4 linked regions of the Lepisosteus oculatus genome follow. The protein of the gene in region 1 purifies or fractionates together with the protein of each later gene. This does not show direct contact. Links are inferred from orthologs where the notes say so. Each region holds a gene or a part of one and is shown on either strand. Other genes may lie near its edges.

The links.
Region 2: the proteins of slc30a1a (region 1) and csgalnact2 purify together in Homo sapiens (co-immunoprecipitation; 3 studies listed by BioGRID and IntAct, counting the BioPlex papers as one, with this or other methods). This does not show direct contact. The link is inferred for Lepisosteus oculatus from reciprocal best matches to the Homo sapiens genes SLC30A1 and CSGALNACT2.
Region 3: the proteins of slc30a1a (region 1) and mettl9 purify together in Homo sapiens (co-immunoprecipitation; 3 studies listed by BioGRID and IntAct, with this or other methods). This does not show direct contact. The link is inferred for Lepisosteus oculatus from reciprocal best matches to the Homo sapiens genes SLC30A1 and METTL9.
Region 4: the proteins of slc30a1a (region 1) and xxylt1 purify together in Homo sapiens (co-immunoprecipitation; 3 studies listed by BioGRID and IntAct, with this or other methods). This does not show direct contact. The link is inferred for Lepisosteus oculatus from reciprocal best matches to the Homo sapiens genes SLC30A1 and XXYLT1.

Annotation. Positions count from the first base shown.
Region 1 is NC_090697.1:46,251,685-46,259,428, reverse strand, and holds the start of slc30a1a (zinc transporter 1a), read right to left. Parts: upstream 3,022-7,744; 5' UTR 2,405-3,021; coding exon 1,810-2,404; intron 1-1,809. UniProt on the Homo sapiens protein: Zinc ion:proton antiporter that could function at the plasma membrane mediating zinc efflux from cells against its electrochemical gradient protecting them from intracellular zinc accumulation and toxicity.
Region 2 is NC_090699.1:33,889,604-33,896,697, forward strand, and holds the start of csgalnact2 (chondroitin sulfate N-acetylgalactosaminyltransferase 2), read right to left. Parts: upstream 3,012-7,094; 5' UTR 2,858-3,011; intron 1,230-2,857; 5' UTR 1,101-1,229; intron 1-1,100. UniProt on the Homo sapiens protein: Transfers 1,4-N-acetylgalactosamine (GalNAc) from UDP-GalNAc to the non-reducing end of glucuronic acid (GlcUA). Required for addition of the first GalNAc to the core tetrasaccharide linker and for elongation of chondroitin chains.
Region 3 is NC_090714.1:16,657,338-16,665,016, reverse strand, and holds the start of mettl9 (protein-L-histidine N-pros-methyltransferase), read right to left. Parts: upstream 3,010-7,679; 5' UTR 2,919-3,009; intron 2,510-2,918; exon of another isoform or gene 2,361-2,509; intron 2,278-2,360; coding exon 2,122-2,277; intron 1,298-2,121; coding exon 1,107-1,297; intron 763-1,106; exon of another isoform or gene 497-762; coding exon 287-496; exon of another isoform or gene 1-286. Other genes in the region: mfsd13al (transmembrane protein 180-like), read right to left, coding at 4,975-5,116, 7,355-7,498. UniProt on the Homo sapiens protein: Protein-histidine N-methyltransferase that specifically catalyzes 1-methylhistidine (pros-methylhistidine) methylation of target proteins.
Region 4 is NC_090708.1:8,922,779-8,930,134, reverse strand, and holds the start of xxylt1 (xyloside xylosyltransferase 1), read right to left. Parts: upstream 3,020-7,356; 5' UTR 2,956-3,019; intron 2,522-2,955; exon of another isoform or gene 2,383-2,521; intron 2,248-2,382; 5' UTR 2,244-2,247; coding exon 1,797-2,243; intron 1-1,796. Other genes in the region: lisH domain-containing protein ARMC9, read left to right, coding at 4,280-4,330, 5,458-5,583, 5,908-6,078, 7,100-7,255. UniProt on the Homo sapiens protein: Alpha-1,3-xylosyltransferase, which elongates the O-linked xylose-glucose disaccharide attached to EGF-like repeats in the extracellular domain of target proteins by catalyzing the addition of the second xylose.

The sequences.
Region 1 (7,744 bases):
GTATAAAGATAAAAAGCAATTTAAAGGTAATAAGGCTAATTCAAAAAGCCAACTCTTATTTTCTTAACATAGCTATAGCAGGCTCAAGAGCAGAAACATTGCGTTTCTTGGTTCTACTTCGCAATGAGGAATTAACTTTTGCTTGTGTCTTTAACCAAGTAGACGTGTTCATTTTTTTTCTATTTGTTCTTCATATTTGACATAGGAAGCTGTTGTACTTGTTCATGTATTGGCATATTTTCTTATTTATGCTAGTGATTTCTAAACTAAGAATTTTCCATTCTAAAGGAGTAAACAGTTTCTTTGTCATGTACAACCCTGAAGCAATTAAAAATGGGGAATCTCAAAGTTTGGGATAAAAGTTATGATGCCTATTTCCGAAGCTAAATCTCATTTCCTGTTTAAATGTAATGGTAAAGGTCACTTTAGCAACTCTGCCTTTCAGGCCTGGGGTGGGTAAACAATAACTAAAAAAAAATAATTGTTTTTAGGACCCATTGTATTCCTTAAAAAGGAAATAAACCATTTTTGTAGACTTAATCCTGTTGTTGCACTGTTTATGGTTTTATTATTATTTAAAACTGTATTTATTCGCTTTATGCTGATCCCCGTTTGTAAGCTCATGTTTGTATGGTAGGTTTTCAAGTATAGAAGCAGTAGCCATGCTATAACTGACCTGTCACATGATAAGCACATGATTGCCAGCTATAAGGCAAAGATGCAGGTCAGAAAAAAAAAAGCTTCAGTCAGCAGGCTAAAAAGGCAACTCACACTCATTCACAGGGGTCCAGGACACCATAAAACAACCTGATGAACACCTAATACGCTTGAAAGGAACAGTGGAACCAACCCTGAGAATCAGGCACAAATGCCAACATCCTGTCCTCAAGAAGAAAGTTTCACTTTTACAGAATAAGATGTGGAGTAACAGATGTACTTCTCACACCATGTGACAGTCAGTCACCACTACCACTGTGCAATAAGGCTGTGACCACATCATTCCATGTTGGGGAACACAATCAGAGGTTCAATAGTCCACATTTTCATATTTCTCAGACACTGCACAGTTAGAGGCGAAGGGTCCAGTTTTTTCACCGTTCTCTGAAAATAAACTGTTTAAACATGAGATGCTGTCCAGCTCATGACTTTTCATTTAATGGGAAAGGCAGAAAAAAGAATACAGGACCTGCCTGTCTTGATGTGAGCTGTGAATTGGAGTGCTGGCAGCTTATGAAGAATCTGCACATGTGTGAGACTCAAAGGAGGACCTGACTAAGTCCACTAAGGACGTACTGGTTGACAAATCACGAGATACCCACCCTGCTACCTGGGGACAAGCACTGGCCCATATATAGCATTGTGTTCCCTTTTTGCTGTTCCACATGAGAAAAGACAGCAGCAGAACGTATTGTATTAAACTGATTTACCAACTCGTAAAAGAATGGCTCCTATACATCTGCCAGTGCTGAGACACTATACATTTTAATTGCAGGCCCATACCAATGGTAATTTTGTGGTTCACATTGCGGTTACGGTAGAAGGTGAAGCGTTGCCCAAACTCATTGTGTATTAAACCAACAGCCCTGACGAAAGCGGGATTTTAAACATTTGTTTCCTTACTGTATGCAGCTTCGATGCCAAAGTCTGACAGTTGTCTTCAATTTGTCAGATATTGTTTTAAAAATCTTACTTTCAATTAAAAGTAGACCAAGTCAGCAACCAAGTTTACGAGCAATGACAACACAAAGGCAGAAGCGAATCGAAAGAGGAGAATAAATCGTAACAGCTTGGAAGAAATTAAAAACATACCGTGCTTGTCTGGCCTGTCTGTGTTGACTCCGTTAGGGCTGCCGCAGTTTCCTACCAGATTATTAGTCTCTTCCCCAGACGATCCGCTCCCGGATGGTCTGTCGGATTTGCACATTTTGTTCCTTTTGTTTTTCTTACTCCCGTGCGAGTGTCCTCCGTGGGAGTGGCCGTGCCCGCCGCCCCCTGCGTGTCCGTGGAACATGCAGAGCCCCAGCAGGTTCACCAGGAGCCCCGCTGCCCCGACCCCGATCACCACCAGCGGGCTCTCGATCTCACGCGGCTCGGTGAACCGCTCGATGGCTTCCAGTATGATGGTGAAGCACAGCGCGGTCAGAAACACGGCGTTCACCAGGGCGCCCATCACCTCCGCCCGGATCCACCCGAAGGTGTTCTTGCTGGTCGCCTGCGTTTTTTCCGCAAAGCGAACGGCCACCAAAGCCACGACCAGGGCGATGACATCCGACAGCATGTGGAAGGAGTCCGAGAGCATCGCCAGGGACGAGGTTATCCGGCTGACCACCACCTCCACGATGAAGAAGCCGAAAGTCAGGGACAGCATGCAGAGCAGCCGTGCCCGGTTGGGTTCACAAGCCATTTTCCCTTCTGAGAAGTCTCCTCCAGCTAAATGTTTCAGTGATGAATTACTATGTGGTTATAAAAATACTATTTCGTTGTTTCACAAAAACCGAAATCACGCTAACATCTTCACGGAAAGCTACTTGTACGAATCACTGGAAAAAAGGGGCTGGTATTTTGAAATCACGGGATTCGCGCAAATGCCACCGGTAACACACGGAGAGTGGCAGTATGACTATAAAGAGGAGAAAATATTTCTCCCGTCAGAAATCAGGTCTATATCGTTATTACCGTGTTCCTGGAGATCTGTACATCAGAAGGCATTCAACATATTCAGGGATGGCAAATGAAGCTCCAAAGGAGAGAAAAAAGCACAGGCTTGTCATTCAAAGACGTCTTGTAAATCCTCCTTTTAAAAACATATATAATGGAAAGCTATGTTTAAGGGTTGTTAACGGAGTACTTCTTTAAAAAGATCTGGTGCTCAAACAAAGAACCAAACAAAAGCGAAAAGAATTACCCGGTGAGTACAAAACACAGCTCGGCACGACGATAGCTCTCTGGTGGTTTGCAGACGGTTTGAAACTTTGCACCCGAAACCGGCAAAGTTTTCACACGGAACAAGGGGAGCCAGGCGGCCACGCCCCGCCTCTCCGCCATTGGCGGAGGAAGCGCAGTGTGGCGGCGGAGGCTCTCCGCTTGGGCACAGGGGCTGTCAGTTTGGAGATCATGTGCCCCGCCGGGCCTTGTATAGTCGCCGGCGGGGGGCAGTTGACCGACGCCAGGCCTATAGCAACTAGGCCGGCTCCGCTCTCCCTGCACTGCGGCGGGGGATTGGAGACCTCGGCCTTCAGTCGTGTTGTAACCCGAGCGGACTGCACTGGAGATCCGCCTCTGAGTCAAATCGTGACGCTTTCTTCACACCGCACCTGGTTTGTAACCGCACGACACTATAAGTACTGATTCAAGACAAGTCATGCTGATATTGCAGAAAAATAAAAAATCAGAAAATAACCATAATAATACCCAAAGGGGTGTAGAAGATGCCTCCTTTCATTGTTGAAATTGCATACAACAAAAGCTTAGTTAAGGAGTCCTGCACCTTGGATAGTCCCTTTTAATAGAAGAAAACGGAGAAATATTTTCGTGTGCAAAACACTTGCATAAAACCCGACGACCTTTTCACTTTTGAATTATAAAGTTTCAGCTGCAGTCAATCCAATTAAGTGTGCACGTTAAGATCATATCTAGTAGGGTCAGTTTAGGTAGATGAATATGAAATAATCTAAGCCTTAACTATTAAAAAGACATGAAGATTGACGTTTCCAACAAAATCTGATGCTTAATATTTGATCTCCCCGTGCTTGTGGAAATGAACGTGGACAAGGAGTTTCTTTTTCCTAACAGACCGGTCCGCTTTCTCGACGCAGTATGAAAACTACATAAAACACTAGAACATCACGTTAATATTACACTTAACCAGTACATAATGTTGTCCCAACTGCAACGATTTAAACGTTCTGACAAGTGTGAACAGATGGTAAGGAATTTGGGGAGAGATATTAATTATCATTTGTAATCATGTGGACGTGTGGATTATTATGCTATTTCATACAAGGCATTTTTGGAACATCTAAGCAACTAAGATAACATTACATTTAAGCACAGCCTATGAAAAATAAGGTATTCTTTACTTCTAAAGAAACAGCTATTGGGAATGGAGCAGGTGTGTAGAATAAACCACAAAATCATGTGTAATAACCAATAAGATTATATGCAGGTTATGAATTGCCCTCACTTAGCCTAAACGGCTTAGCTGTTAAAGCCCTCCTGTATGCTTGTCATTTGTCATACGCAAAAACTATAATTTAACTGGATCTGTTTAACTTTCAAGCGTATATTCCCCTAGGAAATCCACAACGATCCCTTCAATTTTCATAATCACAGTGTCCATGAAAGTAGTTCTTGTCTCACAAACAGAAATGATCTGTTGTTTGTCTGCCCACTTCTGAAGAGCAGGTAAACTGATCCATATCATGTAGATAGTATGGGGTTCTGGTAATTAGCAGGCCTTAAAATTTGTGAAAGGATGATAGATTCATCATTTGTTCTAAAAATTTTACAAAGCTTCAGAATAACCACAGCTTAGAAATGGTAACATTGTGATTACTGCTTCTTCATTGCACTGCTTATGAAGCAAAATAAGTAGTAGCTTTTTGTAAAACTACCCTTTGAAAGCTTCAAAAGCTGTTTTTAAAATATATATTCATATATTATATAATGCTCTAACATTTAGACATTCAGAGTCTGAGTACTATTTGTCTTCTGTCAGGCCCAGAAAGTAAGCTTAGTACAAAATAAAAATCAATTGCACTGTTGAAGTCTGAAGGTTGTTACATAGTTGAATATAAATAAGTCCTACAACATTATTTGCTACAAACTATTTTCAAAGGAAAAGTGAATGCAACAGCAGGTATGTTTCACAACAGCTTGAGTGGATCACTACAGTTCTGCTTTTATCAGTCAAGGGAGAGCAAATGAAATTATGTGCTGTTGCACACAAAAAACATGTCCTGATAGAATTAAAAAATGAAATCCTTACTTTGAGTCTTGCTTGACTGTATAATAGGCTGCTAAAAATCTTAAATATAAATTGCTTCCTAATGCCAAATACACTGCTACCCCAAATCAGATATCAGAAAAAAACCCATCTTGTTCAACCTAATGCACCTCATGAAAGTAGAAAAAGTTTAGTACCAAGCTTCCTTTGGAAGAGCAGTTTGAGTCTGTTGAGATGGGGTACAGAGGATTTGCAAGCTAATCCCTTTGTAGAGCCTAAAGTCTTTTGGTCATAACAGGGGTGAGCAAGAGGAAGGTTATCAAAACCACCACAGAGGCTGGGTGAGGGTGTCTGATGTTGAAAGACCTAAAACACCCAGTGACCCCAGATCACACTCCTCTGATGGGGTGTCCAGGTACATCAGAGGATGTATTTTCAAGCCTTTGTGTACTGGCCAGGTGTACTTCAACATTTCTTTAAATCCGTCTTTTTTTTTTCCTTTGGTGGGCACAACTGGGATAAATAAAGGGGGACTGAAATTTTGCCATCATAATTTTCATTAATGGGTGCTCGAAAAGCTTTCATGTCCAGAAACACACAGGAATACAAAACAATCTACATTTCTTAATACCTTTACTGAACTGCTACTTTATCATGAAAATGTAGATACACACAGTATTTTCTGCTAAAAATAAAAAAAGACTATAATGTTTCAGTACAGTATATATAAACCTATAAATAAATCCAATTTAAAATGTACTTTTAAAATAAAAGATGTGTTTCAAGATGCAAAGTTGCACTAGCCTACTTAATTCCTATTAAAAAACCTTGTTGATCAACATGAAAAACAATAGAAACATAAGTTCCTAAGTACATAACTTAGGAGGCACAAAGTAGGGCATTTTGTGTGCTCCTTAAGGACTGGAAATCCAGCCTAGTGTGATAGACAGCCAGTAACATGCCATTCACAAACAGACAGCCTAGCATTCAACACTGGTGAGACACACTGACTATATACCAGCTGCGAGAATGAATCATAGGCATTCAAATACTTAGTAATTAAACTGCTATTTACAGACCAAGAACTGTATCAAATGCTTTGACAAACCTCTTCGCTTCTTTCCTTTTCAGTATTCTATACCTCATAAGTCTCACATTGTCGTATGTTGCAATTGTTTTCTGTACACATGTAACTTGCTGTTATTTATGCATCTTGTAGGATAGATTTATCAGATTTTGTTAGTTGTGTTCAGACACAAACAGCTGTTAGGCTTTGATAAATACAGTACTTTGTGTTAAGTGTAATACTTTGTTCCAAAGTTACATGTGAAGATGTACAGCTAATACGGACGAGCAGAGCACATTAGCCTCCACTCTTGTGACTAAAATTCTGTTTTTCTACCACTTAGGTACATTACCGTGCATCGTGCTTTAGCTCTGTCCCATTTCAAGAAACAAGCACTTATGACAAAATTATTGCTGCAAGCCTCTCCACTATGTAGAACACTTATGGGCAAGTCACAAGTAAAAAGACCTTAAACCTGACTGAATACATTTTCTTTCATTCCCATCAGCAAAGCAGTGAATTTTTTTTCTCCACATTTCTCTCTTCTAGAGCATTTTAAATGCACAGAAAATACCCCACACTAGTGAATGCAGTCATCTTGAAGAAATAGGCCATTCATCACTATAGCAGTACTTGTATTTACAATATCTTTATTACAAACATAGGGAAACACCTTATTTCTCTAGAATATGAAGAGGGTAAGTAACTTGTGTAAAATATTAAAAGTTCATACATATCTTTAATTCTCCTCGAGAGTGAAACAGCCTGTTTCATGAGCTGCATTCACAGCACCATCTGATCTTCAGTCTTCAAAACGAAGGAAGTTTGATTGCCCTTAGCAATTTAACCGCAGATAAATGCACATTTCTTTTAAAATCCACCTCCCCTAGATGTATCTGAAGCCTTACAAGTGCCACACATTCTTAAACAAGAATATAGCATTTTCTACTTTCAGAGCACCTGAACAGCCTCTACCCAGTGGCCTGTACCTACTTCCTATAATCTCTCCGACACATTTCTTTCCTAAATATCCAGGGAAACAAATGAAGCTGCACTTCATTTTTATTGTCAGAGTATCTTTAACTCTGACTCTACAGTTCAAACCATAAGAAAGAATTTCAGACAGATAATTCCTCCAGATATTGCATGGGTATTTGGAGACCCCTTGTGGGACCCAGCTGTTAAGTCAAGTGGCATAACACAACATTTTAGAAACATTTATTTAAAACTCAAGTGTTTTTTAAAAATGACGGCAAAATGTATACATATACCCTCCTTTGTGCAAAATTAAAACTAATGTATTACTTTGAAATACTTCAGTACAGACTAGGCTCCATCCAACATTTTCACAGTTCCAGATAACCTGAGAATTGACTTCATCCACATCTTAGTAATATACAGTCACTCACGTACAAAAGCAAGAAACTACAGTGAAAAATCCATTGATTCCCCCCTGAGAATGCAGCTGCCAGACATGGATATGTGGTAAAATAAGAGTAACAAAAGTCTACCAACATGTATGAAAGGAGAGAACAATTACAGACATTTCAAATAACTACTCTGTCATACTATTTTGTTTAATGCACCCCAATGTCAAAAAAATTAAATTAGGTGTAGATTTAAAAACTAAGACATCATTTTTGGAAAGTATGTTATGGAAAAGAAGACCTGTTTTACAACAATCCCTCCAGACAAGGGGTGCAGAAATGCTTTACCTTTGCCTTTCACTGAGT
Region 2 (7,094 bases), on another chromosome or scaffold:
ACTGCTGTCCAGGTGTTAACAAGGGCAGATAATTCATTGTGTAGTAGTACATCTATGTTGTATGACTTGTTTCTTCATGCCAGTAACAATTAACTAGAAAAGGCCAGGTTTAGGTCCAATTATTTCTCTTTTGTAAATTGTTTAATGATCTTGAAACATATTCATTTCACCCACAGACCTCTAGGCATTTAAATATACTATATAAACATGCATACTTGAAAAGAATGTCACCATTGTTATTATACCTCGTTACTGTGAAAACCCACAGCCCCACTCAACAACTCTTCCAGCTGTGACAGTATAGAAAACAAATTGAAGACATTCTTACAACAAAAATCAGATGTGTACCTTACAGAAAAAAAAAGTGGCAGAATGGGGGTGGCTATGCCACAAACAGACACACCCGAGATTGAGGAAGATATTTCTTGTAATAGAGATTCACAGACATGAGAACTTAGACATGCAAACTCTCTGTACATGGTCAATCAGCCAGTTCATCCCAGGATGTTGTTGTTGGGACTGAGTGGGCAGCACTGAGGAGTAGTAGTCAGGGCTCCAGATTGGAGGATCTCTGGTGGATTGCTGCTGAGGAAGATTCCTCATTCACTAATTGCTCCAACAAATACACTGATATGTTTCAGGTTGACATTGTAAATTAATATTTATTCTTAATGGACATACCTTGGTAAAACGATTTGTAAAAAAAAAGGCTTGCAGACTCATTAAGACTTCATGGTGGAGAATCCTTCTTCTATTATAAACCAGATACGTTTGCTACCTTGATAAAAATCTAATTTCATCCCTGTAATGGACCCCACCTTCACTTGACTGATACCACTATGGTCTGAGCCTGTTATATTTAAATGCAATTTTCTACATGTGAGTGTATATCCTGTGCTGTGTCTGAAGAATGGTGTTAAGTAGTTCTTTGGAAGGACTTCTCAATATGCAGATACGTCAAGTTCAATGAAGGGCATTGTTATTCTGAGACATCCTTTGGTAACTGAGGGAATTCTCTGCCATGCATATTGTACTACTGAGACAATGGGAGCCAAGAGAAAAGAGTACTTAAAGTTTTTTAACAGAGCTTTTTTTCTTACCCGATACATAATTTACAAAATGTATCTCTGGAAACTAATCCTTGGAGTACAATATTGACATGTTTTGGAATTTCCAGTCTTTGTTAAATCCAAGATGGAGTGCACATTTGCTGGAAACATCACTGGAAACTGAAATACACATTGCAAATGTTCAGATTACAGTGTTGGAACCTGCATATATCAGCAAGATGCTTTTTTGTTTAGTTGAACAGCAAATTAGTAATGCATCTATCATGTTCCTAGAGCTTAGATCAGGATCTCCCCCCCCCAAAAAAAAAAAAATCTACAAATAAATGCAATGAGCAGTTGTATAGTCTACCTTCAGAACTCTGGAAAGAACACCAATCTGAGTTTAGCAGATTCATGCCCATTAACTTTGACAACTGGGACAAACTGCAACAGCCTCAAGTCTCTTTGGTGAATAAGAGCCTGTTAGTATATTATAAGAGTATAGCACTGCTACAGTATACTCCAAAGTTCATAAAATGGTTCTTTCAATTTTCTTCATCTACTAGAAACCCAGTTTTTGATATATGTTTTGGTGTTATTTAGACAGTGTCATCATAGCAATGCAGACAAAACATTTTTTTTAATTCTTACTAAATAGCATTCGTATAAATGAATCAACTGTATGTTTAAAAACCATCATTAATAATATACTGTATGTGACTTTCTTTTTAGACTAAGTCACTATAAATACAGCATAAAAAAACATTACTTTATTCCCTAACTAGTTGGTTCTTCTACCCACAGGTATCTTGCTGGTGGTTTCAGCAATTTTCAATCGCCACCTCCAGATTTAACACTTTCATTTTAAAGTAAAAGGACAGGGTGGGAGGATGCGGGCTCTGCTCTCGGGATAAAAGAATTTATCGAACAAGAAGAGAAAAACAAAAGTAAAACATGTATTTTGATTTAACAGGGCTGATCATTAAAATTAAATTAAAATGTCCACTCTACCCTTTCTCCGGAGAACCATAGAATTCAACTGTTAGTTCCTCTACTGGTTTCTCTTATTATTTCAATTCTATGCACTACATAATTGTACATTACAAATAGCAAGTTAAAATCGTAACAATCACTAGACACTCTACAAGAGATCCAAGCTATCGGTGCTTGAAACTTAGATAAACAATTTCGTGGTGTGCATTATTAGAGTTGATCCTACTTGCTTTCCAGAGATTCACTTTAACTTATTCAAAAACTGTTTAGTTTGTGTGGTCAGAGGATGCGGTACCAGTGGCTAACTAATCCCTTTCCTGAACCACGCACCTTGACACTATTCTGACGTGGTCAACAATACCATTCCAAAGTTTGCAATGGTGTTTGTTTTTTACTTCCACTTAATGTTTTAAAAAACAAGTTTTCTACAAGAAAGTCAGATAGCTATTTATTTATATACGTAGTCATTTAATTAACTGCTGTAATAAAGTATCTATTTCACTAAATAGGACCATAGGAATATTAGTGTCGTTTCGGACATGAAATATTTCAGCGGAATTAAAAGTAAAAAACAACGAAACATTACTTCCCCTTATGCCCGTACTAACATATTAAGTACAGGCATCTGCCGTTACTCTATAACGTACAACCTTTTATCGTGACTCAAGACTTTATAGAAGTGAATGTGAACTAATCCTCCCAAGCACCGCTGACTGCTGATCCTCCCAGTAAAAACGTTTTTCTGTCTTTAATCTCGACAGAGGCATTAGCTAAAAAACGCATCAGAAAATGGCGATACACCACTCACTACTTACCCAAAATCAAGAACTGGTCGCTAAGCAGAAATATTTTGCAGCCAGTGCTGATGACAGTAAAATTAAAGTCTTCATAAAATCTGATACTGAAGCCGAATACTGTGAAAATAGCGTCTCTGCAAACAGCATACACTAGAAATACAGGCTAAGTACTTCCTGTCTGTATCTGGAAATGAGTCAGAGAAGCTCTTAAAGGAACAACGTATTCGATACAACGTCGCTTAGTTTCTTTTCTGGCTGACTGTTACACAAATATAGCAATACATATATAACTGTTTACCTGAAAATTTCCGCAGCATGGAAATCACATATTGGTTTATTTTTATTTTAGCAAACGAGGAAAAGCAATATAACGCTTCAATTGAGAACGACCCATCTTTCATTTAAGACAAAAAATAAGCTAGGACACACAGATGAATACTAACACAAGAACGAATTGGTTATTGTGTCACAAATTTCACGTTTTTGTTATATAAACCATGAATGAAACCTCGTCATAATATATACAATGCCATTATGTCCATTTATTTCATGAACTGTAAATGAAATGCACAATATTGAAATATAATTACTTGTAGTACAATTGTATTAGTTCGTGTCTACTGGTAGTGTTCTTATTCATGCAGTGCAGTAAAACTGTGAAAAATAAAAAACGGTATTATTACACAAAATTAAATGTCTTAATCATCATTTTGTGGTTCCCAGACAGTACAGAAAAAAAAAACTGCAGGTTTGTTTTAATCAGATTCCATGTCAGGATTGTGTGACATCCTAGTAGGATGAGGCCTGCCAGGTCCATCTAGTGTATGTTCAGAGGGCTACTTATTCCTGGCAAGGGTTGAGGTACACAGAGGCCTGATACTGTAGCACAGAGTGCAAAGCAGGCCTGCATCCTGGAAGGGACACCAGTCCATCACAGGGCACACAAAGGAAAAAGCACAGGGACAGTTTAGAGACAACTGCTCTTATTGGCACTACTTTGGCGAATGGTGAGTGATGCCACTTTGTATACCACCTACGTATACGTAATGTGTATATCTGGGATTTTCTTTATGTTATTCTTTTTATTTAAACATTTAATCATATCTAAACTATATGTTCTGTCATTGTGGGAACATACTGAAACTGTTTTCAGCCACATGTCTTATAGAAAAGGAATGACATACTTGGAAAGAGGAAAATGAATGATAATCTATGTTGGAATAATGGGTTGTGGGAGTATGGAACAAGCCTCGTTGTTGAAGCTGATACCGTGGTTTCTTACAAGAAACTACAGAATGAGATCCTTGGATTATTTTACTCAGTAACTACCACGTAGGGTAAATGCATTGGATAGCCTCCCAGTAACCTTTCATACAGTGCCTTGCGAAAGTATTCGGCCCCCTTGAACTTTTCAATCTTTTGCCACATTTCAGGCTTCAAACATAAAGATATAAATTTTTTATTTTATGTGAAGAATCACCAACAAGTGGGACACAATTGTGAAGTGGAACGAAATCTATTGGATTTTTGAAACTTTTTTAACTAATAAAAAAATGAAAAGAGGGGCGTGCAAAATTATTCGGCCCCTTTACTTTCAGTGCAGCAAACTCACTCCAGAAGTTCAGCGAGGATCTCTGAATGATCCAATGTTGTCCTAAATGACTGATGGTGATAAATAGAATCCACCTGTGTGTAATCAAGTCTCTGTATAAATGCACCTGCTCTGTGATAGTCTCAAGGTTCTGTTGAAAGCGTAGAGAGCATCATGAAGACCAAGGAACACACCAGGCAGGTCCGTAATACTGTTGTGGAGAAGTTTAAAGCCGGATTTGGATACAAAAAGATTTCCCAAGCTTCAAACATCCCAAGGAGCACTGTGCAAGCGATCATCTTGAAATGGAAGGAGTATCAGACCACTGCAAATCTACCAAGACCTGGCCGTCCCTCTAAACTTTCAGCTCAGACAAGGAGAAGACTGATCAGAGATGCAGCCAAGAGGCCCATGATCACTCTGGATGAACTGCAGAGAACTACAGCTGAGGTGGGAGAGTCTGTCCATAGGACAACAATCAGTCTTACACTGCACAAATCTGGCCTTTATGGAAGAGTGGCAAGAAGAAAGCCATTTCTCAAAGATATCCATAAAAAGTCTCGTCTAAAGTTTGCCACAAGCCACCTGGGAGACACCCCAAACATGTGGAAGAAGGTGCTCTGGTCAGATGAAACCAAAATCGAACTTTTTGGCCACAATGCAAAACGATATGTTTGGCGTAAAAGCAACACAGCTCATCACCCTCAACACACCATCCCCACTATCAAACATGGTGGTGGCAGCATCATGGTTTGGGCCTGCTTTTCTTCAGCAGGGACAGGGAAGATGGTTAAAATTGAGGGGAAGATGGATGCAGCCAAATACAGGACCATTCTGGATGAAAACCTGTTGGAGTCTGCAAAAGACCTGAAACTGGGACGGAGATTTATCTTCCAACAAGACAATGATCCCAAACATACAGCAAAATCTACAAAGGAATGGTTCACAAATAAACGTATCCAGGTGTTTGAATGGCCAAGTCAAAGTCCAGACCTGAATCCAATCGAGAATCTGTGGAAAGAGCTGAAAACTGCTGTTCACAAACGCTCTCCATCCAACCTCACTGAGCTCGAGCTGTTTTGCAATGAAGAATGGGCAAGAATTTCAGTCTCTCGATGTGCAAAACTGATAGAGACATACCCCAAGCGACTTGCAGCTGTAATCGCAGCAAAAGGTGGCTCTACAAAGTATTAACGCAAGGGGGCCGAATAATTTTGCACGCCCCACTTTTCATTTTTTTATTAGTTAAAAAAGTTTCAAAAATCCAATAGATTTCGTTCCACTTCACAATTGTGTCCCACTTGTTGGTGATTCTTCACATAAAATAAAAAATTTATATCTTTATGTTTGAAGCCTGAAATGTGGCAAAAGGTTGAAAAGTTCAAGGGGGCCGAATACTTTCGCAAGGCACTGTATGTCCTTATGTCTATTCAAGGTATTCGAAGAGAAGAAGGACAGGAATAGTCTGTATTGGTGACTGTCAGTTGGTAACTCTTTAAGTAATCATGTGCAGGCAGTGTAAACATCTTTAAACCTTGTGTGTGAATGGTTTGTATCCAGTATCCATATATCCCTTTCTTGTTCCACTGGTGTCAGGTCTGGCATTCTTTAACCATCCTGCAAATTCATTGTTGAGCCCGTTAATGCGATTGCCTGAAATGTAATCACATGCATATACTGTACAGTACATACTGTAATCAGGCAATACCATAATCATGAAACCTACTGTAGGTTAAGGTGAAACAGAACTATGATTTGAATACATAATAGTATTGCAACAAATTAAATATTTTTAGATTTTCAGATATACCAGATCAAGATATACTTGATCAGTGCATTGAAAATGTATGATGCTACCCTAGAAAGCATGGATTGATAAAATACCCTGTATTATTGCATAGAATGGCTTTTTTTCCTTTCACACTATATTTCCTTATACACTGTATGTTCTTTCTGCTTTGAACTTTGTAAAATATTTTATCAGTGTTATATCTACAGTATACAGTATATTTAAGCGTTGCTGTATTTGAATGAAAAACATACACTCTGTGTATTGTTTTCTTTTTTTCTTCTTGTATTTTATGCAGTATTGCACTGGTATTTTCAGACACCCTCAGAAACATTTAAAAATAATTATGATTTCAGGTTCATAAACTTTGTATTTTTAGAACTTCCCTCTTTGGAAGAAATTTCTATCATACTTGGAGTTTCTTTAAAGCTTTAAAGCTAAAATAATACTTTGCTAAATATAAAAACTCCACCCTGTCTTCAAGTCATCCAAATCCTCCAATCTTCACCAAGGTGCCCTTTGTTTCATATAATGTAATTCTTACTTACAAGTGAGTGTTAATCAAGTCTTGATCTTGTCTGAGATCTGTCTTATCAGTCAGGGTTGTAGTTTAGTTCTGTTTTGCTGTTTTTCCTACTTTTGTGGTATACAGAGACAAGATGTAGATACATTTATAGAGAACACTTCACCCCTTGATAGATAAAACAAATTATGAATTAAAGCTGTAAAAAACATTTTGTGTGATTCATATAATTTTTTAAAATTTAATTACAAATTCAGGTCAAAATATACAGCCAGGACATTTCATTTTTTCAAACTATAAATTCCTGTTCCCCACAGAAAGAACAATTACTGATAAAATACATCACTGATAT
Region 3 (7,679 bases), on another chromosome or scaffold:
AGAACATCCTAGAGATGTTAGAGCGACATCCTGCCTCTACAGACTTGTCACCCAACAGTCCAGCTTGAAGTGTACACACGCCTCTTCCTTCCATCTCTTTCTGCATTATTCCTGAGCTGCCGTTTCAGTCACCGGACCTCTCCAGCTGGCTCTGTACAGCTCGGGTCGAGGCTCGGGGACCCGCCATGGTGACTGCACCGCTCTGTTCCTGAACCAGCTCCTCCCACTGCTCGCCTCACGGCCGACCACAGCCCGAGCTGCCGCGCGGACGGCCACCTGCTCTTACGTGTAGTTCCTCCGCTGCAGCTGCCAGGCCATGGGGGCCGACACCTCGGTGGCGTAGACCTCCTGGAAGTGGGGGCTCATGACCTCGGTGACCCCACCGTCCCCCGCCCCCAGGTCCAGCAGCCTGCGGGCCCTCCACTCCGGGGGGATCCGGAGGAGGCTGCGGAACTGCTCGGCGGAGAACACAAACATGGAGCCGCGGCCCAGGAACCTGGCCAGCGAGAGAGAGCGAGAGAGAGCGAGAGAGAGCGAGAGAGAGCGAGAGAGAGCGAGAGAGACGAGCTGAACCTCTGTCGTCTTGACCAGAGAAGACTGCAAGGGGACCTGATGCCTCAACAAAGCTGTGTGCTGATTGTGTTGTATGAAAATGCCCTGCGATGCGTTCGTGTCGTAAAAAGGTCTGTGCCGATCGTGTCCGGTCTGGCGACACTGTCATTCATCGGTCGTGCCAATAAAGCTGGTTGGATTGAACTGAAACGGAGCGGGAGGCACTTCTTCACCCCAGGGGAGGTGGAGGGGGGGGAGGGGTGGTGTAACGAGCCACACGGCTCAAGCTGGCGAGATCGTGGGTCCTCTGGGAGGGCTAGAGGGGCTCCTCTCGTCTAGAGGCCTTTCTCACGTCCTTAACGGCGAGGAGACAGCGAGCCGGGCAGGGTGGGCATGGCCGGGGTAGAGGGGGCGTGCAGACATGATCCTACACACGGCAGCTTCACAACACTGGAACCCTCAGCCCAGCACAGACACCGCGCCTGGCCAGGAGGGCGACAGGGAGATGGGGGGCGGGGGAGACAGAAGCCCGGCTGGCAGGAGGGCAGACGTACCCGTTGATGGAGGTGCGGGAGAGGAAGGGGCTGAAGAGGGTGGACATGAAGGAGTGGTAGAGCTGCATCAGGAGCCAGCTGGACTTCTCCTCGCTGCGGCTCAGGAAGGCGCGCGTGTCCTCATCCAGGCGGCTCTGAACGAAGGCGGGCCGGAGGGGCTCGCCCAGCAGCTCCGGGCAGCACCGGTACCACTGCGGAGACACCCGGGCCCAGACATCACCAACACGGCGCTGGCTCTCACAGGGCCCGCTCTCGTGCCGGGCACGACACCCCAGAACCCGGCCTGCGGGCCTCGGAGAGCAACAGCTCGGGTCACTGCGTCTGCCTCGCTTCCCAGCACCAGTGCAGCTGGCGCCGTGGAAACACGTCAAGCACGAAACCCTGCGAGTTTTAACACTTGCAAGATTCGAAATTACCGCCGGTGTGCCTTATTTGGCACCTGGCATGACCCTTGTGAACAGGTCCTGTGGCCTGATGAAGCCTCCTGCAGAGCCTGAAAAATCACAGCTTTTCAGAAGTCCCCAGGGGTGACACAGGCACAGGCCTCACAGCCAGGCTTCAGTCTCATTACTGCCCGTAACGCAAGGCTTGTCTTTTGCGTTTGGAGGAGAGGTGTAAACATTCAACCACACTTGGTGGTTGTGCCTCCCTCAGCCTGCTCATTCGAACACTTTCTTCCAATAAATGCATAATAATGAATATATAATGAATCACTGCAACTCCTACATTCCCAATCCCTCTCAAACCTGCTCAAGGGGGCGATTTAAAAATCTGCCAACAACACTGGTTGAAGCCCAACGCCGCCCTACTGGCATCTACTGTTAAAATAAAGCTAAAAAAAAAAATAGGAGTAAAATGAAACTTTACAAGGAAACGCCCAGGGTGTGGATAAACTAAGGAAAACAAAAGTACAACAACATGCACAACTTCACGCAAAGCTTAATTTGCTTAAATTAGCAAACAACTCTCTGCCCCCGTCCCCAGCCCCACATGTAGCCCACTGTCACCCCGGTACCTCCTGAGAGCCGTGCGGTCCCGTTTCGCTGGCCATGTTGACCAGCAGCGCCCTGGCCAGTGGACTCCTCAGGTATCTCCCGGTCCACATTTCCCGTATAACCAGCAGCGAGACGAAGTAAAAGAGCACCCAGACCGCAAACAGCAGCCGCCTCATCTGCAGACAGAAAGCAGACCGAGACTCAAAAACTAGAGTCCTCGACTCCTGCCAGACCTTCCGAGCAAGCAAAGCGTACCGACCTGTACATGCTGTTGGCTTTGAAAGGTGACATGTTGTTACTGGACCCTCCACTTCAACCGTAAACTAACTTGCTCGAATAAACCTTCTTTCAACAAGTAAGCCGGTGAATCTGTTCCACGTTTACTTCCTGTGTCACACTTAATTGCGTCCCCACCCTTTAAAGTTTCAAGTCTTATGCACTCACTGCATGAGCATTAAACGTTTTGCACGCATTTTCAGCGATTTTGTTTTTGCAGAACAGCATTTAAAGAATAAACAAGTTTAGTCTCAGCTGGCATTTTAATTACTACCACTTAGGTATGTTCATGTTATAACTGGAGATTTAATTTCACTTGACAAAAACTTCGACTTGAATAGATTGCGTTCCTACATCTTTACAATATTAATAAAGACCTAAATAATTCAGTTCCCATTAAATCACATGTAATTAAATCACGTTTCCACGAATCCTAGAACCGAAAGCGTCATTTCAGATCGAGTTTTTTTATAGAATTTTATTTTTAAATCTTTCAAACATTCATGAATACAATTAAAATACAAAACCATGAAACACTTACGGCTAAAAAACAGTAAATAAATGCTTTTTATTGTCCATTTCATGAGTTATACTTCTATCATTTCTGCAGGAGTATTGGTTTGATTGCAGAATGACCTTTGTACAGCAGCCCCAACAACAAACTGTATTTAACATAGACTTTCACCGACAGAGGTAGTAAGAGGAACATCCGGCTTCGGGTTAGTACAGGTATATACCGGTCACGTTTATCTTGTTTTATTTCAAGCCGTATTACACTGAAAATCTCAACCCCGAATTAAGATTACGGCTTTAAAAATATGAAGCACAGTGTGGGCAGGAGAATACAGTACAATGCAATGATCGCTCTGCAATGACTACAATGAGCCCCCCTGTGGTGTTGCAGAACACCTTGTTTTTCTCTGCGATAAACCTACACCTTGAAACTCCTCATTGCACACACTACACACGCAGAGCAGGCTGGGCCTCCAAAACTCCACCCGAGTTTGTCTCGTCAGGATCTTACATTTTGGTGGTCATCTTATGTCACCAACGTCTGTGTGTTTTTTTTTAATTAAATATTTTCTGCAGCACCCACTGCAGGTTAGCTCCCAAAATCCCAAGGCAATTATATAGCGAGCGACACAAAATTAAACATTTCCTGCAGAATTCATAATGAATATAGGTATATGTCTTCTGCATGTATTCACAGCTCACAGAATGAACACTAGAATTCATGTTATTGTCCTTACTTGGTACAAAGGAATGGAAGGTCATCATAAAATCTAATCAAATTCTTAAAAGTTTACCCCTATTTTCTGCAATTATACTGCAAATAAAATGAATATTTATCTATTATTTGTAATACAATAACCCTGTAATGATGCAGTGCTGTGTGAATTTGTCAGGCAATGCGATGTTCTGTATTCAAAGCAGCTCTTTTTCCCCTTTTTAAACAGGTTCTTCAATGGCATCTCTCACTGCTCCATTCTTGGTTTTGAGTCGTTTCCTTTCCCAGAGGTTGCTTTCACGGCACCGGACTGCTTGGCTGTTTCTCCTGGCTGGTGTTTTTCTCAGGGATCGCATGGCTCCCTGCTCTTCACACACTGCTGAGCGCTGATCCGCTGCCCCTGGCCTCGCTCGACACACTGGTCTCACTGTTCGTTCGCTCGAGACGACTCTGTAACCTGGGGCCCGGCCACGACTGCGCGGCCCCCCCCCCAGCAGGGACGGAAAAGGCACAGTGCAGGTGCAGCCACAGCCCTCAAAACTACTGGAGGACAGGCTGCTTGTGACCGCGCAGTCAAGAGCTGTGTGGAGAAGCACTTGACTCTTCCACGGGCTTCTTGTGCTTTAGTGCCACACAGCCCACAGAGTTCATGGGGACACGATGGGACCAGACACCAGCATTCAGAATCCTCAAGGGCATCGACAAAGCATTCCCCAGCAGTCACCAAGCAGAGCAGGCAAGTGGAAGCTGTGCAAACTAGTTTAAAACAGAGAACAGGAGCCACCTCTTTACCCAAAAGGTGGTGGGAGTCTGGAACAGGCCAGCCAGCTGTGCTGTTGAGGCCGGTACCCTGGCACCTCTCAAGAAGTGGGTAGACATGATCCTCCAATTAGAACAGGCATCACTTCTTTACTCAAAGGGTTGTAGGAGTGTGGTGCCAGCCACCCCAGCCATCTTGTTGAAGGCAGTACCCTGACTTCTTCCAAGAAACAGCTGGAAGAGATCTTCAGATCAGTTAGCTACTATCAAAAGGGCTAGATGGACCCAACAGCCTCTAGGCTTCTGTAACTTTTTGTACATTCTTATGGTATGCTACACACTGCATTACTTTCATTGGAGGAGCCCAATCCATCAACGTCGAGCTTCTGCTGATCAGAAATCCCAGATATGCCACCTTAGCAAAACCATTTTCACCAGTTTTTTTTAATATGGCAGTCCAGGGGGAGACGGCTCCCGCCTGTCCTATTACACACCCGTGAGAAAAGAGGAAACGGCGTGTACAGGGACACCAGTTCGAAGCTGGATGTCGTCCATTGACCTCATGTGATTGCACACGCCTCCTCCTTCCTTCGTCAAAGGCTGTGGCTCCCTAAGTCTCAAGGTATTTAGCGTCCAGCGTGTGGCTCTCTCTGATGGAGAATGGAGTCCAGGCTGCGATCTGCAAGGCGGCAACGAACATCGGCACCAGGCAGACCAGGTAGAACATGGCGCCGTGGAGAGCCTGCAGAGAACTGGGATGAGACAGAACAGAGGGGTGTGAAACAGCACGCCAACGATCCAGGGTTTTCAAGTGAGGCGGCCTGTTCACTCCCAACAACTGGAGCTGAACACGTACTGCTCACTGGGCCTTATTGGTCATTCCAGCGGGGTCAGGTTTTTCGCAGCATGAAAAGTACCACGCGGGACACATGAGACATGTCCGTCGGCACACTTTCTAATGAAACAATCAGCACTTCAAACATTCCAGATATCTACAGAAACAAAAGTGACACAGGAAAGAAGATCCAAATCTAGAACGGTTGTGCACGGGGATCAAGGAGTTTCCCCGCCCACAGGGCTGCAGTAATCTACTTCAGAATCGTCGACACGCGTAACAACTCTTTACGGTTCTACAAAAGTTTCAGAAATAAAAGCACAGGGCAAGCACCTCAAGGGGACTTAAGCACAGCCGCAGAGGGGTCCACTGCTAATGTCTGTTTGTAGCAGGAGGGATTTCTAATCTATTCCAACGGGGCTGCCCGCATAATATCCTGTCTGGCAGTCTGTAACTTACTGGGATTCTCAAAAACAATATCTCTATCTTCTAAACTGTCTGTTTGTATAAATATAATTGAGGGTGACATAGAATACACCAATGAACATGTAAATTACTTTGCTTTACAAACTTCACTAAATGGGACAGGTGGGTCTTACACCTCACATTCTTATGTTCAAAAACCTTTATAGAACAGTGAAGTAAGCAGTCCTGGTCTTTGTGCATTGCTTCTGACTGGATTTAGAAGAATGATTTAGTCCGTGGGGAACAGAATAGACATTTGACATTATTATTTGCCATTAACTGGCTCAGTTAAGTAATTAAGTTGGGAAAGAAATAAAAACCCGAAATGAACCCCAAAGATTTCCCTAGTGCGGAACCACTGTGAGAAATATAGCAGTACACATTTCTGGCCACGAGAGGGAGCACGTAAGCAATTCCGAACGCGGGACGCTCTCCAGACTGCATTGTGTTCTTAAATGTCTCGGGCAGCACGCCATCATGTCTTAAGAGTCGTGAGCTGGCAAGGAATTATTCCCTTATAAAGTGCTGCGGTGCAATAATTAACAGGCAAGACAGATTGTCACTTTCACCTTTGCTGAACGCGTCATGCCGGCAATTCTACTGCTGTGTTTCGAGCCTGCTCAGCTCTCTCAGCGCAGTGGCGTGGATCTTATTTTAAATGAACACGCAGTCTTCTATAAATCTGCCTGCCAGTTTCTTGTTCATGTGCACTTGGGAAAAGAATAATTCCCTTTCGACTTGCCATGAAAAAAGCAATGCATTGGAAAAGAGGCATTAAGATTCGGGAAGGACTGGGGCATGTGTGGATTCAGACAGTGCCTGGCTGAGAGAGAGCAGGCAGAATCCTGTTTTGGTGGGAGCTGTCACACTGCCACACATCTCAGAGCTCCCTGCTGCCGAGACAGATGGGGGGCGGCTGTCCTGGCTCCCTCCGACAGAAAATGTCTTCTGCAACATCCTCTCGTGGAGCTTTCAAATTCTGTGCGCATCTGCGGGCTTTATTTTGAATTCGGTATAACCCTGACTCCGTCAAATTAAGCTCAGATGGCGTCTTAAGGAGAGGCACTGCACAATCCCACTGCCTGTCTGCCTCTGGAAAAAAAAGGCCACTCGCATGGCGTAAGATTTCATATCCGCAGTGAAAATGCACCAGTCACACGCTGCCCAGACAAAGCCCCAGCACGCCAAGCTCCAGAGACCCGCCATTCCCCCAGCGCTGCTTAGAACACTGAAGGAAAATGAAGATATACAAAAGAGACGAGAGGCTGCGTTTACTGAAAGAAGAATCAAGACACTGGATTCTTACTTTCGAATATAACCTCCCTGCTGCAGACCGCCACCAACTTCTATATTTTTTCAGTTCTGCTTCTTTATTTAAGGGGAGCAGGAGGTGAGGACGTGTCCTTGAGTGGCCTGCAGGAAAGGCAGCGTCACGTGTGCACCATCAACGGAAGGATTGCGCAAAGTCACCGAGCCCGAGCTCTGGCTGGCACTCCACACAGGACACTGGCTTCTCTTCAGGACAATCGCTCCCCCAGTTACATAACAACTACAGCCTTTATAAAACAGCTGATTAACGCGCTGTCCAAAGGCTGCTGGCCATAAAAAGATAGGGACTGCTCGTTGCTCCAGAAGGTCCAAATCACACGGGCTCAAAGGTCTCTGGGAGGCTGCAGCTGTTGTACAGTACCTGGGGTCCACAGCCGCGCCCGCCTCCTTCAGCTCCTTGTAGCCAAACTGGTTGAGAATGGTGACCACCACCATGGGCGCCAGGGACTGGGCAGGCTTGGTGAAGAAAGCGTTGGTACCAAACACCATGGAGGACAGCGGAGAGCTGGGCCCGGCAGAGACAGAACCAACACGTGTCACACACGGAGAGATCCAGCTCCTACTGGCCCCGGCAGTAGTGAGGAATTAGTGAGACAATGTGCAACACTATCAAGCATCCCAATAATGTAAAACTGTACATCCTGTTATTTCCTATATCTGTTATAAATCTACAACCTATATTGTGA
Region 4 (7,356 bases), on another chromosome or scaffold:
GGACCCATTCTCACATTAAATGTTAATGTTACACCTAGCAAAAGCTGGTCTGCAAAACAACTTGCCTCATCCCTTTACCTCACTGGTGATGTACAGTGTCAGTGTGATTTCACCTCAGGAGTCACACTGATTTTCATAAAACCTCTTCCTTGACTCCTTTTGACTTTTGACCAGCACTGGCTTCTTCGACCCTTAGAGAAATCTTTTTTTTTGCATAATGCTATCTGGCCTTCATTCTTTCATATGCAGCACATATGCAGCACAAAGCTATCACTTTGCGTTTTCTTTTTTTTCCCCCATAGCTTTTTATTCCCACCCCACCCCCCATCTTTCCAGGCACAAGCCCACCCACAAAAATGAAAAGTTACAAAGGTTTCTCAAACATTCTCATGTATATATACCTGTAAATACCTCACATCAAATGATCTTTCCAAATTGCTGCCAATTTTCTTCCAGTTGCAAGAAAGCAAATTGTGAGCACAAATTACCAGCCATCTCAGAGGCTGGATTAAGCCATGAAAATACTACTGATGTTTAAAAACACTAAGAAGAAAATGAATAAAGCACCAACTCTTTACCCCGATATTAAAGAGTGTAGGGCTACATCAGTGTTTGGCATACAGTATGTATGTTGTGTCAATTTTGCACTTTACAAATCCATTCAAACCCAATATCATTTGACACCAAAGGGAAATACATTAATCCACCTATAGAAATTCATAAAATATTTCTGATATTTTAGGTTCTGTTATCCAATACTGATCAACTGGAACATAAAAATGAAATTTCCATTTTCTTACGATTCTGAAATAAAACATCATCAAAGAACAAATACAAATTACAGCATTTGACAAACTTTCCAATCAGTCATGCTTGAGTTCTCCCACACCGCACCATAAAGCCATTTCTGCGATTGCTTTATATTATGTCAAATTACATTTTATTGAGTCTGTGCTGCCACCTGGTGAATAACCAACACTAAACAAACACCAGTATTTGTGGGAAATAACACTAACTTTGAAAGATAAGATTTCTCCAAGACCTCTTTGGCTCCGTGCTGTAGACACAGGCATCTACAGAGGGACAAGTTGCATTTTAAAGCATGTTTTGAGAAACAAATGTTAACATTACATTATGTATACGGCACTCACCAGGAAATATAAGAAACATATCTCATCAAATTGAATTTGACAAAAACTAATCCACTTCACTCGACCAATCTCACCATTCACCTAAGCTGTTGGGAATCTTAATACTGATTTAATATTTTAAGCAATCTTAATATTAATATCGACACAAACTATGCCATGATCTCCATGTTTCAGCTAGTACACAGTACGTAGGTGTACAGATGCAGGCGGCATGCTGGTGCAGTGGCTTGCACTGCTGTCTCACAGCACCAGGGGCCTGGGTTAATTCCTGGGGTGCTGTCTGCATTGAGGTTGTATCTTCTCCCTGCGTTTGCATGGGGTTCCCTCCCACAAGCCAAGGATATCCCAGTAGCTTAACTGGCTTTGGGGAAATTGGGCTCTGATGTGTGTGTGTGTCCCTGTGACAGACCTGCATCCTCATCCAGGGTGTATCCTGCCTTGCGCCCGCTGACTCCCGGGACAGTCTTGGGGTTAGAAAATGCATGGTCGTCAAGTGAAACCCTTCGCCTGCACTGGCAGACCAGAGAGCAACAGATGCAAGATACAAACCCTACTTCTCAGCTGAGGTGTTCCCAGCAGACATGACACTTACCCGCACGAAACTGTGAAACCAAGCCAACAGACAAACAGCCTCTCCCGACCTACCTCATACCGGAAGGTGGCATCCCGAAGCAGCTCTGGAAGCATCCTCTCACCCAGCTCTCTGCTCGGCGCGTCGCTCACAAAGTGGAGGACCAACACCTCCCCGTCCGCGAAGCCGCCGTGCGCGGCCATGGACCTCAGGGCGACCCGGAACTTCTCCTGCAGCCCCCGGTTTCGGTCCACTTTAGTGAACATCATCAGCGCGTGGTAGTACAGGTCGGGGTGCCCGGCCCCGGTGTCCGAGGACAAGTCCGCATCGTTCCTGTTGGCGTTGAGGCTCGCCTGGGTCTCCTTGAGGCGCCTGGTCGTGCTGGAGAAGCTCTGACGCTCCGCTCCGAAGTAGTAAAAAGCCACGACGGCGAGCGCCGCTGCTAGCAGCAGCAGCAGCTGGTAGGATCGGAAGGCGCTGGCCCTAGCCATGGTGTTTGGGCTGGACCTCAGGATGCCCATGGCCCTGCCAGAGAAGACCAAACATCCTGTTTAAGCCCCGCACTGCCACAGCTGGGGGGAGTGTGGTTTCCTCTGCACTCGTGTGTGGCTTTTCTTAGCTCAAGGGAAGAGCCGTGCTCATCTCAGTTTTAAAGCTTACCCTCGACGATGACTCAAGACGGACAGGGCTCCGATCAGACACTCAGTATTTTAATTCTCTGCAAGGCTGAACTGCTAAGGGACTGACTCCTTCTTTTGGCATCGTCACGCGTTTTCTCCAAACCACTGCGAATATTAAAGTATTTCCCCTCTTAAACTAGGCTTTAAGAAACAGACCTTAAAATCCCCCTAGAAAGCCAGGCAGGGAGTAAATAGCTCACAGTGGTGATTCGCCTCCATCACATTCATCGTGGGGGAAAATGAAACCTGCGAAAATAACTCGAGTAACTGTTTTTAGAGGTTCCGGACTGTACGGATGACACAACAGATAAATAAACCGGAGGGCTGACATAAAATCAGAGCGACCACGAGCGAATACCGAGACCGATAGGCAATTCAGCATCACAGTTATCAATCACAGACATAAAAACGCACCGCAAATAACTTACATTCATTTGAAGTATTAACTCGTAATACACCTCTATGCGCAACATGCGAGTTTATATTCTGTACTTTCGACAGCGCTTATCAATAACCTACAGTTTTTGGGAGGGAAAAAAGCCCACTACATTACCTTCATGCTTTCAGCCATGTTGAAAATGCATGAAAACTACCTTTCCCTAAGAAATCACTTCCTACACCTCCCAGAATTCGCCTGGCCGCGTCCAGGATTAACCCTTTTATTGCGGCATCCCGTGGACGCAAGTTTTAAAACTTTTTTTATGGATAAGAATGCATTTAACTCTTTTGCTAATGACTTACAACGCACTAGAAGGTTTTTTAGACTGTGTAAAAGTGTACAAATATTTGCAGTATGTTTCCCGTTATGACGGTTGTTGAGTGCTCTGCCTTCCACAATAAACGCATAAAGAATTTTTATGTAAATCTTTCATCTACACCCACGATTAAATCATAGTCAAATTAACAGCTTTACTAAACTTTAGTGGGGGGTTTTTCCTAACCCGTGTTTTCACGTATTATTCCGAATACTCTCTGTGTGATTGCCTTACGGGATCTGGATTGTAAACCCTACCAATATGGCCGCCATTTCACACTCAACCCAGAGTCGTTTACACAGGATGGACCCCTCTATATCGCTTTTATATCTATGGCTCTTACGCTCGTGCGTGCCGTGGCTGCTGTTGGTTGCCAGGTGTTCTCTGGAAGCGTCTCGTGCATCGATTGTTGCTATCCTTTATAAGCAAGATATGTATCCGTTTGCGTCAAGCCTGAAATGAATGTTAACGCGTTGAATTCACTGACTGAATTGTCCTTTCATTGATATCGGGAGACTATAAGAAGCGAAAACGGTTACAATGTAAAAAAAGCAAGGTAAGATCGTGTGAACAACAATGTTGTTAAGTATTGTTTCCAAAGAGGCCTCCTCTGAACATTTCGTGCAAAGAAAATGTCATCTTTAGATTTCCTCTCTTTCAACATAACTGATTCCTTTTTGGATAAGAAATAATGTGGAATGCGATTTGCTTGCTGAGCAGGCTCGTGTGAAGAGTATTACGTTGTTAATTAAACGTAATAAGCGGCTACAGTCTGCTGATCCCCAGATTGAATTATTGCAATGTATAGACTTTGCAGGGGTTTGCCAGTGTACAAAGCTGCCGTATTCTTTAATGGAAAAGGAACATCTAGATTTTATATAACATTTTCATCAAATTAAATTCCACTCTCCTGCTGAAACATGCATCCTAACGTTTTTACCTTTTTGAAGTACTCACGTTTGGGATTTGGTGTCGGTAGGCTTAATGATGTGTTACAAATGCTGAGTTATTACAACACAGTAATGATCTGAATACTGTCATTCCTCCTGCTGTTGTTTAGAGAGAAGTGTGCAGCAGATTTGTCGGATTCAGTTTGCAAATGAACACAGATTATATTGGAAAATGGGAGATATTTTGGTTTACGAAGGCGAGCTTCTTGGAATGGTGAAGGAGGTATGTCGTTTTCAAAGTGTGCTTAAGTGCTGTTTTTTTCTCAGAAGTGTTTTATGGAATGACATTTTATGCTGCTTTTTTACCGTTTGGCTCATATGGCACTAACCCATTGAATACTAAAGGAGATGTCATGGGAAACTGATAGTGTCAGACCCCAAAGTCAGAATGAGAATGGGCAGCACTGCTGTCCATTCCCCTTGAATGTGCTTGAATGTGCTTTCTGGCAGTATGTTTTGGGAGTCTGCCTAAGAATTGGCTTTGGTGGAAGGTTTTGCTGAATATGGAAAATATTTCTCTGAGCAGGAAGAACAACAGTAATGGTAAAATAGATAATAAAATCATCTGTCAAGATATAATCCAATTGTTTTTTCATAAATGACTGATTATCAAAAGCATTTTGAAGTGCTAGGCAACGCTTATATTCTTGTAATAGTAATAATAATAATATACACTTATATAGCGCTTTTCTGGACACTCCACTCAAAGCGCTTTACAGGTAATGGTGACTACCCTCCACCACCACCAGTGTGCAGCCCCACCTGGATGATGTGACGGCAGCCATAGTGCGGCAGAACGCTCACCACACACCAGCTATCAGTGGGGAGGAGAGCAGAGTAATGAAGCCAATTCATAGAGGGGGATTGTTAGGAGGCCATGATTGGTAAGGGCCAATGGAAAATTTGGCCAGGATGCCAGGGTTACACCCCTACTCTTTTTGAGAAACGCCCTGGGATTTTTAATGACCACAGAGAGTCAGGACCTCGGTTTTACGTCTCATCCGAAGGACGGCGCCTTTTTACAGTATAGTGTCTCTGTCATTAGGACCCACATGGACTGCAGGGTGAGCGCCCCCTGCTGGCCACACTAATACCTCTTCCAGCAGCAACCTTAGTTTTCCCAGAAGGTCTCCCATCCAGGTACTGACCAGGCTCACACCTGCTGAGCTTCAGTGGGTTGCCAGTTGTGAGTTGCAGGGTGATATAGCTGCTGGAACTTGGCTTTGTAGGACACAGGTGTTTCATAGCTTAGATGTAAGAAAGATTTGGTTATATTTATTCATTTTGAAATGTGCTGTCCAAAGGCCATATCTTCATTATTAGCAAGTACGTTTTATTGTCTTTGCCTAGTATTTAAGGTTTGCCGAATTTGATGAAACTGTGAAACTTTTTGAGAAAGAATGCAAGACGAAAGGAAAGCCTCTTCCAAAAACCACGGGGAATGTCTTGAGAGACTCCAAAACATTAATTATTCAGGTATGTGTCTGGAGTTGTATTTATTTTGTTAGTAGCATTTTGTACAGAATTGGAACAGTGACACCAGATGACAAATTGAAGCGTAAAACCTCAAATTAGTTTAAATACTGTAAAGTCCACATTCACATTTTCACATAGAGAAGGAGAATTGCAGATCTGGACTCTCCTTGACCAATACTCTTAAAAAGAGTGTCAGGTAAATCTATCATTCCATCAGATAAATATAATATTTTACCAGTGCAGTCTATGGCTCCAAAAGGAAAAGATGTTTTTTTACATATGGGACTGCGTTTTAAATATAGGTACTTTTGCCCTGTTCTGCAGAAGGAGATGATCAGCTCGTTTGAGGATGGAGATCTGAAAGTGTTCTTTGAGCTGTGGAATGAACACATCCCTGCGCAGATTCGAGACGTTGACCTTCTCGCCCAGAAACTTGAGTTTTATCTGCACATCCACTTCGCGATCTTCCCACTGAAACACGTCCTAGGAACACCTGTAAGCAACATTGAAATACATCACAAGTCTCCCTTTCAAACAATCGAGGTCTTACACCAGTGCAAATGATGGGATCAGAATTTTTCTATGCTGTTGTTCTGTTTGAGTGGGATAGGTAGGTTTTCCTTAATTTAGCACATCATAGTTGTAATAGGACGACTTGGTCCAATTTGTTAACGAAAATTTAACAAAAATCTGGCTATTATTTCATTGTAGAGTTTTATAAGGAGTGATTCCAGCACCCAACAGTATTTGTGCTGTCCAGATTTGGATCTTCCGAGACATGCAGATTAGAATTTGTAATTGTTAGGGGACTAAGTTCTTACTTTATCCACCAGATGTCTCTATTGCCTGGTTCAAATATTAGTAAAAAAATACATTTTTAATTGTTCTACATTGTTAGTACTTGTAATGTGTCCAGGTACCACCACACTACTTTATACATAAAGAATTAAAAAATATATATTATCTTATTTGCTATTTCATCGCATTGTTGTTTTAATATAGCCAGGAGGGTGATTTACATTCTTTCATTTTGATGTCATTGTCTAGAATACTCCTAATCCTTAAGGTGTAAGTAGAGGTTAATTGCACACCGAAAAGCCGAAAGAAAGAAGAACAGGCACAGTGTTGTGTCTGTCGAGCTCAGGTGTGTGGGAGAACGAGGAAGAGAAAAGCAATATGAGTGAGTAAGGAGGACAAAAGAGAAAGTGAGAATGATAGTGGAAGGTGATAAAAAGGGTCTGAATGGAGAGGTTAAGAAAGGAATGAGACAGTCATTGAGAGATGAGGGAAGCTGATAACCTAGTTTAAGAGTAAGTTTGGGATCTGCTTTGTTTTTTTGTGTAATAGTCCTTGAATTCCTGTAAAAGGATGGGGTATCGTTGATAAGGCTTTATCAGTGCAGTCGCATGCACAGAAATCCGTGTTGTGTCACCGAGGTCTACTTTCAAGCTTTGGCAGCAGTCTGCTAGCTTTCAGCGGTGTAATAAACTGGAAGAACGTATTGTTCCATGAGCAGGACAGAACGGATTTTGAGGAGAGGATAACACACTTCAGGCATTACCTGGAGACAAGAGGAGCAGCGCTGAGCCAGACCACCGAGTTCCTGCCCTTCTACGCCTTGCCCTTTGTGCCTAATCCCAAAGTGCATCCGTCTTTCAAAACTCTCTTCCAGGTCTGCCTTTCCACTTGTTACGAAGTCCCAGCACAGAGCACAGGCTTTGCTAGACCATTGCCAGTACATTATATCACAAAGGTGCCAGTATGAAATGCACC